2 linked regions of the Tribolium castaneum genome follow. The protein of the gene in region 1 purifies or fractionates together with the protein of each later gene. This does not show direct contact. Links are inferred from orthologs where the notes say so. Each region holds a gene or a part of one and is shown on either strand. Other genes may lie near its edges.

The links.
Region 2: the proteins of Rilpl (region 1) and Rab10 purify together in Homo sapiens (co-immunoprecipitation; 3 studies listed by BioGRID and IntAct, with this or other methods). This does not show direct contact. The link is inferred for Tribolium castaneum from reciprocal best matches to the Homo sapiens genes RILPL1 and RAB10.

The regions. Positions count from the first base shown.
Region 1 is NC_087401.1:11,058,394-11,062,680, forward strand, and holds the start of Rilpl (RILP-like protein homolog), read left to right. Parts: upstream 1-1,477; coding exon 1,478-1,792; intron 1,793-1,905; coding exon 1,906-2,355; intron 2,356-4,287. Other genes in the region: homologous recombination OB-fold protein, read right to left, coding at 456-989, 1,035-1,175, 1,221-1,256. UniProt on the Homo sapiens protein: Plays a role in the regulation of cell shape and polarity. Plays a role in cellular protein transport, including protein transport away from primary cilia.
Region 2 is NC_087394.1:30,236,433-30,240,256, reverse strand, and holds Rab10 (ras-related protein Rab-10), read right to left. Parts: upstream 2,377-3,824; 5' UTR 2,237-2,376; intron 2,190-2,236; exon of another isoform or gene 2,187-2,189; 5' UTR 2,181-2,186; coding exon 2,054-2,180; intron 1,862-2,053; coding exon 1,662-1,861; intron 1,612-1,661; coding exon 1,522-1,611; intron 1,473-1,521; coding exon 1,278-1,472; 3' UTR 508-1,277; downstream 1-507. Other genes in the region: dynein axonemal assembly factor 11, read left to right, coding at 1-67, 112-342, 390-501; protein lifeguard 1, read left to right, coding at 2,968-2,998, 3,111-3,341. UniProt on the Homo sapiens protein: The small GTPases Rab are key regulators of intracellular membrane trafficking, from the formation of transport vesicles to their fusion with membranes.

The DNA.
Region 1 (4,287 bases):
GTTTTTGAGGTATCGTTTATAAAAAAAATTTCGGAAAACAGTGCCACTAGAAATTGCGCCAAGAAAATGCAAACATTTTACAAATAAAACAAAAGTATATATTTATGAAATTTTAATTTTTTTTTTCGTTTTCAATCAATAAAATGGTAATTAAAGGTCGGTGTTAGCAACGATTAATAAATCGTCATTTATTAGTTAAACAAAAAATTGTTTTAACAAACGTCTGTTTGTTATTATTCTACATATTCGTATTTGTCAAATCTTTAAATTAAGCGTTTATGTATTTGTTGTGCCGTAATATCACGAAAAGTCTACATGACGGTTTAAATGAGCATACTGGATGACGTAGTTCGCGCGCTTTGCGGCTATTGGCTAAGCGTTACTTTGGTTGCTATGGGAGATTTAAAGGCGGGGTTTTCAAAAATTAAATTCTTTATTATTATAAATATTATAAATCAAAAATCATCAAAAAGCGAGTCAAGATCGACCCCATCGAGTGCCTTTGCCCAAATTTCTTCGTCTTTTGGCTTAGTTTCGGTTGGTTTTTTGGGCCCCTCATTGGACACCTCTTGTAGTTTTTTGACCCCCGAACTCGAATAAATCGCCACCAAATTATTTGGAGTTATGGTCAAGTAGTGATTACCTGAACTAGTTGTAATGACACTAAACTGTCTCAAAACAATCACAGAATCGGCAACTAAAAATTCCGAATACTCCTCAAATAAATTATGAATTATTGAGCCCTGAATCTCCCCCGTGGGGTCTTTCAAGACAACTTTAACAATGGTGTTTTTCCCCTCGAAACATTCGACGCTTTTAATGATAGCCCCCAGAAATGGGGCCTTGCGATTTGGCAATTCCTCGCGAGTTGCCGCCCCCTTAATCCAATTAATATCAAACTGGTCGATTAACGTTTCGTGGTCGCGGCACATTTGGAGCCAGGGGGCTGCCTGGAACACGGAGAAAGACATTTGGGAGCACGGAATGACCTAAAATTGAATTATAGCCCCCTGGGATGGCCCCACGACACTTGCCTCATTTTTCGTGTTTTCCAAGTCAAGGAGCCCCGCAGGTCCTGGGAATTTACGCTTAACGGGGGCATTTACTGTTTTGGGGCGTTTGGGGGGCGAATGACTCTGGTGTTTGTTAATTTTATCGAAATTTAAACCCAAGTCCTGATAAACAATGACATAACCTCACTTTAGACAAAACTAACTTACATCACCAAAATCAAAGTCGGTATCACTTTCGAACATTTCTGCTTGTGATTTTGGGGCATTGACTGGGGTTTTGCCCAGTTTTAGTGCCAAAATAAGGGAAATTAATTTAAAATTCGAGTTGGGTTCCGACTTTACCGACAGGACTTTGACAATGTCGCCAATCTAACGCGTAAAAAATCGCCAGCTTTGAGCAAAAAATTGCTGTTTTTGTTGTGATCAATAAGGTGTAGTGTGAGGAGTTTTTGCAAAAAGTTTTGATGCCTCGATCCCGGTACCCCTTCGACGTTGAAAATATGGAAGAAGAGGGTGATTTCGGTGGGGAAGTCAGTGTTGTCGATGTCTATGATATTGCTTCCGATATTGGCAAAGAATGCGAAAAAATCATTGATCAATACGGTGCTGATGCTGTGACTTCGTTAATGCCCAAAGTTATTAACGCCTTAGAATTGCTCGAAAATCTGGCCACACGCAACGAACGCGAAAACACACAATTGCATGAGCTTCGACTGAAAATAGCACAATTGGAAAATGACAAGTTGGAAAAGGCGGAATATCGGCAAAAATTTGAAAAAGTAAGCTTGTAAAACTTATTATTACTCATTTTCTCCTTCTAGTAACTAAAATTTGTACCAGTTTAAACGGTTGGTAGCGTTTGTGAGGTGACTAGATTTAAAACTGTTTCAAGGAACTGGAAGCCATTGAAGAACAATGGCGTTCTGAAACCAAAGAATTGCTTTCTGTGGTCACACGTCTCCAGGAGGAAAACCGGCGATTGGCCAAAGACAACTCCACGTCTCCCCATCGACAGGTGCCCCCCTTGTCGCCGCCGCCTAACGGCGACATGTTACAGAAGCTGAAAGACAGTGTGGAGAAACAACGCGATGAAATCCGCCTCAAAGACAATCTCCTACAAGAGAAATGCCACGATATTGAAAATTTGAAATCGCAAGTTGAACGTCTGAACAACACGAGTCGAGAGCTTCGCCGCAAACATAAGTTATTCCAAAGCCAAGTGCGCACGTTATGCGACGAAAGGGCCGATTTTCTCGTCCAACTTCAAGACCAACAACGAGATATCGTCGGGTTGAGGCAAAGATTGGGTTTGGCGCAGAAGGAAAACGAAGATCTTGCAAAAGTCGGTTCGGTTCAGTCTTTGTAATGGGAGGGTGTCTGGTAATGATTAGCCAATAGAAGCATAGCGCGCGAATTACGTCATCCAGTATGCTTATTTAAACGGTTATACTGCCGTGCTAAGCAAGAACGTCGTAACTGACTTTTTTGTCAAATTTGAGATAACACAAAGTCTGAGATCAATAGTGCAATAACTTTGATTCTAAATAACTTTAATAGATATTATCCAGAAATTAATAAGACGAAATACGTAAATAAAATTGACGTATGTGGGGTTTGTGCAATATTACTTAGCAAGAAAGTCGTAACTATAAAATGTATATGAAACCCACTCATTAATGAATCAAAAATTGTATATTTTCTAAAATTAATCAAAAACATTAGGTACCACCAAGTTTGGTTGTTTACAAAGTCGAATTACAATTAAAAAAACAAAAAAAAGTGTATGACTTTGACGATTTTGTCAATTCGGTTGGAAGGACGGGTACAAGAACTAAAATTAAACAAATGAAAATTGAAAACTTTTTTAAATGGGAAGACTACAGTTCACAGTACAAATTGGCCAAAATTATTAATCGACCTTACCTAAGCGACATGGTTAACGTTACGTTTGAACGAGGAAAAAAAACATGAAATATAGATGCAGTTTTGATAGCGACTTTATAGAGTTAAATTTCCTAACATCAATAACATCATATTCAAAAAACCCACTCAAAAACACACAACAAATGGCATAGATACAGAAAGAAAACAGTAACTCTTAAAAAAATTTAAAAATATTCTACCAGAAAACCGATTGATTTTTTGACAAAATTTGCTTTTATTTCAAAAGTATCGTACGCTAGGTGTAATTTCTTGGGTACATTTTTTTATAAATTTGCTGTTGTTACGTATTATTTCATTTGTTTAAAGCCGTTAATAAATATTTTTGTAGTTACGACTTTTTTACTTAGTTACTTTTACTTAATTAAAAAAATAAATAAAAAAATTAAACGTCGTATGTGGAATAACAGCGATTTGGCAAAATAATGGATACAATTGCATACATATTTCCTTTTTACAAATAAATTGTTAGGTTGACTTCAATATTCCATGTTACTAGCATTTAAAATAACAGTGCACTCTGAAAATGTAGAAAACAAGACATAACTCAAGGTTCATATAAAATCAGTTGCGACATTCTTGCTTAGCACGGCAGTATATGCCTCTGCTTTTTGTGATTTTGAGGCGCAATAAGTATATTACAAATTAATGATTAAGTACAGAACGGTAATTCGAACGGTAACTAATTAATTTGAATTTAGAATATATTTTTTTCTCACAGTTTGCACTAATTTATCAATGACAAAGAAAAAAAACGCCTACTCTTTTAAGTATAAATTGAAATGGTCTTATGGTGCGAGTTTATCTTCAGTAGATAATCTTCAGTAGAATTTTTTTTTATTCCTTCCAGTAAACGATAGATGCTGTTCCTCCATATCTGGTGGCAAACTGACAGTTACATAAAAGACTCACAAAATGATTTCACAAAAAAAAGGTAAGTTTAAGGCTCAAAAGTAATAAAAAAGCGAAAATAACACCGTTTGCTACCCAGTTCGGTATATTTCTGACGAAATAAAACAAAAAAATTGCAAGTCTGCCTGGAAATTGTGATAAAATGCGAAAAAAAGTGACTTGTGACTTAAGTCAACGATTTCTCGGCACGTGTTAGCAAAATTTCAAGAAAAAACACTGTTTTTTTAGAACACAAACGTGATAAAAACGACATAAATACAGTGAAACCTGCTCTAATAACGACACCTTTTCACAACGGACATTTTTGATAACTTATACCATGCGATTTTTTAAAATTTTGTTCTTGTTTTTCATGACAGTTACCTTAGCAATGAAATGTATTGCGTAAATAACTTCAACGTGGCTTTATCTGTCAATATGT
Region 2 (3,824 bases), on another chromosome or scaffold:
CTAAACTAGAGTTTAAATTTAACGATGAAAACCCGGAAAAGTTTGTCCTTGATCTCGCCGTTTACAAGTACGTTAGTGAGTGATTTTTTCCACATTTGCAATGCTTTGTAGGTATTTGGATACGAACTTAATTGAAATTGACTTGCAACCAATCTACGCAAGAATTTTAATTAAGGGAAAAGTGTTTCAAATCGTTTTTCCGGAGGAAATCCTTACTGATAAGAGTACGGCAAAAAGGTCACAAACCACCGGGCATTTGGTGCTGGAATTACCTAAAGCTAACTACAAACCATTAAAACGAAAAACAGTGAAGAAAACATCGCCCCCGAAAGAAAGAAAAAAGTAAGTGTGAATTGTACCCCCATGTGAAATAACCGAACGTTTGTTAGGGAAGTTTTGGAAGTGCCAGAATACAATGAAATGGATTTTAGCAAAATTGTGGAGAATTATAACAAAAAGTGTTCAGAGCACCCAGAAGTGCCGCCTTTGGAGTATGGATAAACGTGGTCAAGTTATTATGTTTATTTCTGCAAAAGCTTATTTTTATACACGTAAATAAATCGTTGCGAATTCTACAATAACTGAACTTTCTAACAAATAAACACATAGATAAATCAAGGTATAAGCACAGACACACATATACTAATGTACAGGAGGACCAGAGAATTAATGGCTAATATTTGAGAGAACTGTAACTTAAATAATTCTTCTAATAGAAACTTAAATTGTCAACTTAGTCTAACACTAACGTAGTTTTCCTCTAGGTCGTTCTGTTCAAATTTAATGTCCATTGTCAAATATAGTGTTGAAAGCAAAAATAACAACATGAACTTGAGACTTAATAAAATTGTTCATGACTATGTGAGCAAAGTAAAAACGTGAAATGATTTAACAGTTTTAAAGTACATTTTATATTCTACATCACACTGGATAATGTTAAAGCAATTGGCTTATATTAAATATATTAAAAAATAATTTGTATTTCGACATTTACCATGTAATAAGTAAAGCACATTTATGAAATAATGAAAGTTGTGCCTCTGTAATTCCAGTTGGATGATTTTGAAAATATGAAACCAAAAATCAGAAGCTTTCAGCAGTATATTGCTTTGTAGAATTGTCTCAACTACAGCTACACTCAGATTTTTGGTTTATGACACATACAACAGCACAATGAACTGACTTCTGTAATGAAAATGATCGGTAAAAAATCTTGTTCAGTGAATTTTATTTGAAATCAGTTTTTATGCATAATTGAGAAGTTCAAATGTTTAAAACTAGTTATTACAGCAAGACCTGGAGGTGTTTGACTGCTGTTTTCTATCTACCAGTACCCTATCCACGTGATCACCTGGCTCTCTGCCAGCCGTTTTATCTAAAATGGCCTCTGCAAGGTCATTAAAAGCTTTATCTATGTTTATGTTAGCTTTTGCTGAGGTTTCCATAAATCTGATGCCATGCTCACGTGCGATCTGAAAAACCCCATAAACAAACAATAAATTTGGGTAACGTTGTATTTACAGTCTCTCCCCGTTCTTTGCTCACTGTCCTCTTATCAGACATATCACATTTGTTACCAAGGATCATTTTTTCGACGTCTTCATTGGCATGCTGCAATTTTCAATCGTAAGAACACTAAAACTCAACAATTGGCCCCTGACCTCGTCTATGTTCCTTAACCATTTCACTATATTTTCAAAACTTTTTTCATTCGTAATATCGTAAACTAGCATTATTCCCATGGCACCTCGATAGTATGAAGTTGTAATTGTGTGGAACCTTTCCTGTCCAGCTGTGTCCCATATTTGCAGCTTAATCTTTTTCCCCCTTAGCTCGACTGTCTTTATTTTAAAATCTATACCTAAAAAACGGGATATTTAAATTTGGCGCCTGCAAAGACCTCACCCCGTGCAGATAAAAATACACCAAGGAAAAACGGAAGCTATTGCAACACAAAGAAGCGATCTCTGGACCAATTCAAGCGTTCTTTTTTGTATGAAATGGACCATGAATTAAAGAACAACAAATAGGGTCAGAGCAAAGGTTAACTTACCTATAGTTGATATAAAAGTCGTCGTGAACGCATCATCGGAAAACCGGAAGAGTATGCACGTTTTCCCCACGCCAGAATCGCCGATTAAAAGCAATTTAAATAGCAAATCATATGTTTTTTTGGCCATTTCTTTCTACTAGCAAAATTATAATTAATTTTTTGACGTTCAACAGTTCAACCTACCAAAACAATAAAAACACCAGGCCAGGGCGGCCAACATCGATGCACAAATATACCAAATTGTACGTTTTTTTGCGGAGCGATAAGTTTTACGTGATTTCCTCGAACTTTGATTGATTAGTCTACGTTTGTTTACGAATAAAAGCCATAAATTTGTGCCCCAAATTTATTTTTTGCCACAAACGCCCAAAAAACGTGTGCGCATGTCGATTAAAGTAGCCAATGGCAGCGCAGTAAATTTTCTCCTGATGTCAAATGTCAGAAAATTCCAGATAATTTTGTTGCCTTTTCCATTTTCCAGAATAGCGATAAGAGTGAGTAATGCGGTATTGTTCCAAATAATTACTTAATCAATTCATTTAGCAGTTTTCCTGTGGCGGAAGTGATTAATTGCCGACAACAGCAGGTATGTGTTTTGTGATTTGACCCATATTATTTACACCTACTTTCATCACTGCTTGTTGTGGTTTACACGGGCGTATGTCTTGTAAATATTGAAAATCAACTTTATTTCGCAATTAAAAAGGTTAATCTTGGTCTGGCTCTAGTCGTTGAGGGAATTTTACTTAATGCGTCTAACATTTTTAATATTGATTTTTATACATTGATGAGTCATGTATTTACGAGTGGTAGCTTTTCGGAAATGAAATGAAATTCAGAACTTAGCCGATTGTTAACGTTTTCTTCACGTTCGCCAAGTTTCATTCTTGTAAACTGTTTTTTTCTATTACAGCATGTCTTGGAACAGTGGACCATATCCACAAGGTAATGTAGCCAGCCTATTAAAAACAACTATAGACTTATCTTAATTGTGGGTGATTATGGCGTTTTGTTTTATTTACGTTAACTACACTTTATATCTTGTGCTATTAAATAGGAAATCAAGGATATTATGGTGGCCCTCCACCACAGCAACCGTACCCAGGCGGTTATCCCGGGGCGCCTCCGTCAGGATACCCGGGTGCCCCGCCGCCAGGTTATCCCGGTGCTCCAGGAGGATACCCAGGACAACCTGGTTTCAATCCCCCACCACCACAACCACCCTATGGAAACCCATATGATTCGGCACCGCAACAAGGTGAAGCTGCACCCTTTAATAATCACACTGGTTCGTTATCTTTCAGTTCTGAGGGTTACTTTGCTTTGCCCAATGCTTTTGTTCTAATCTAACGGTATACCAAACTTTCGTTAATGTTTTCTGTGCTCTTGTGACTAACTTTACAGAACTAATTATTCATTAAAGGGAATCGAAGATTCAAAAATCTTTTTGGAAATCATTCATGTGGTAACCGTTGCGTTAGGTTTTTCACTTTTCCAAAATATTTGGGAGCCATATTACGTACAAGTTGCAAATTAACAGTTTTTCTGAACTTGTTTAAATTTCGAATTTTTTTTGTGTGTGTGAGACAATAAAGTGTTATTACGTCTGCCCTAATAAGCCAAATCGTTCAATAAAGTCAACGTTAGTTACAAAGTTTTGCAACTTAAGAAATAATTGATTGTGTAGAGGGGTGGTGTTGGTTGATTAGTTCTCGAAATTGTTTATTTTTGTATTGCTGCGAATGCTTGTGCGCCTGTGTGTTGAAAATTA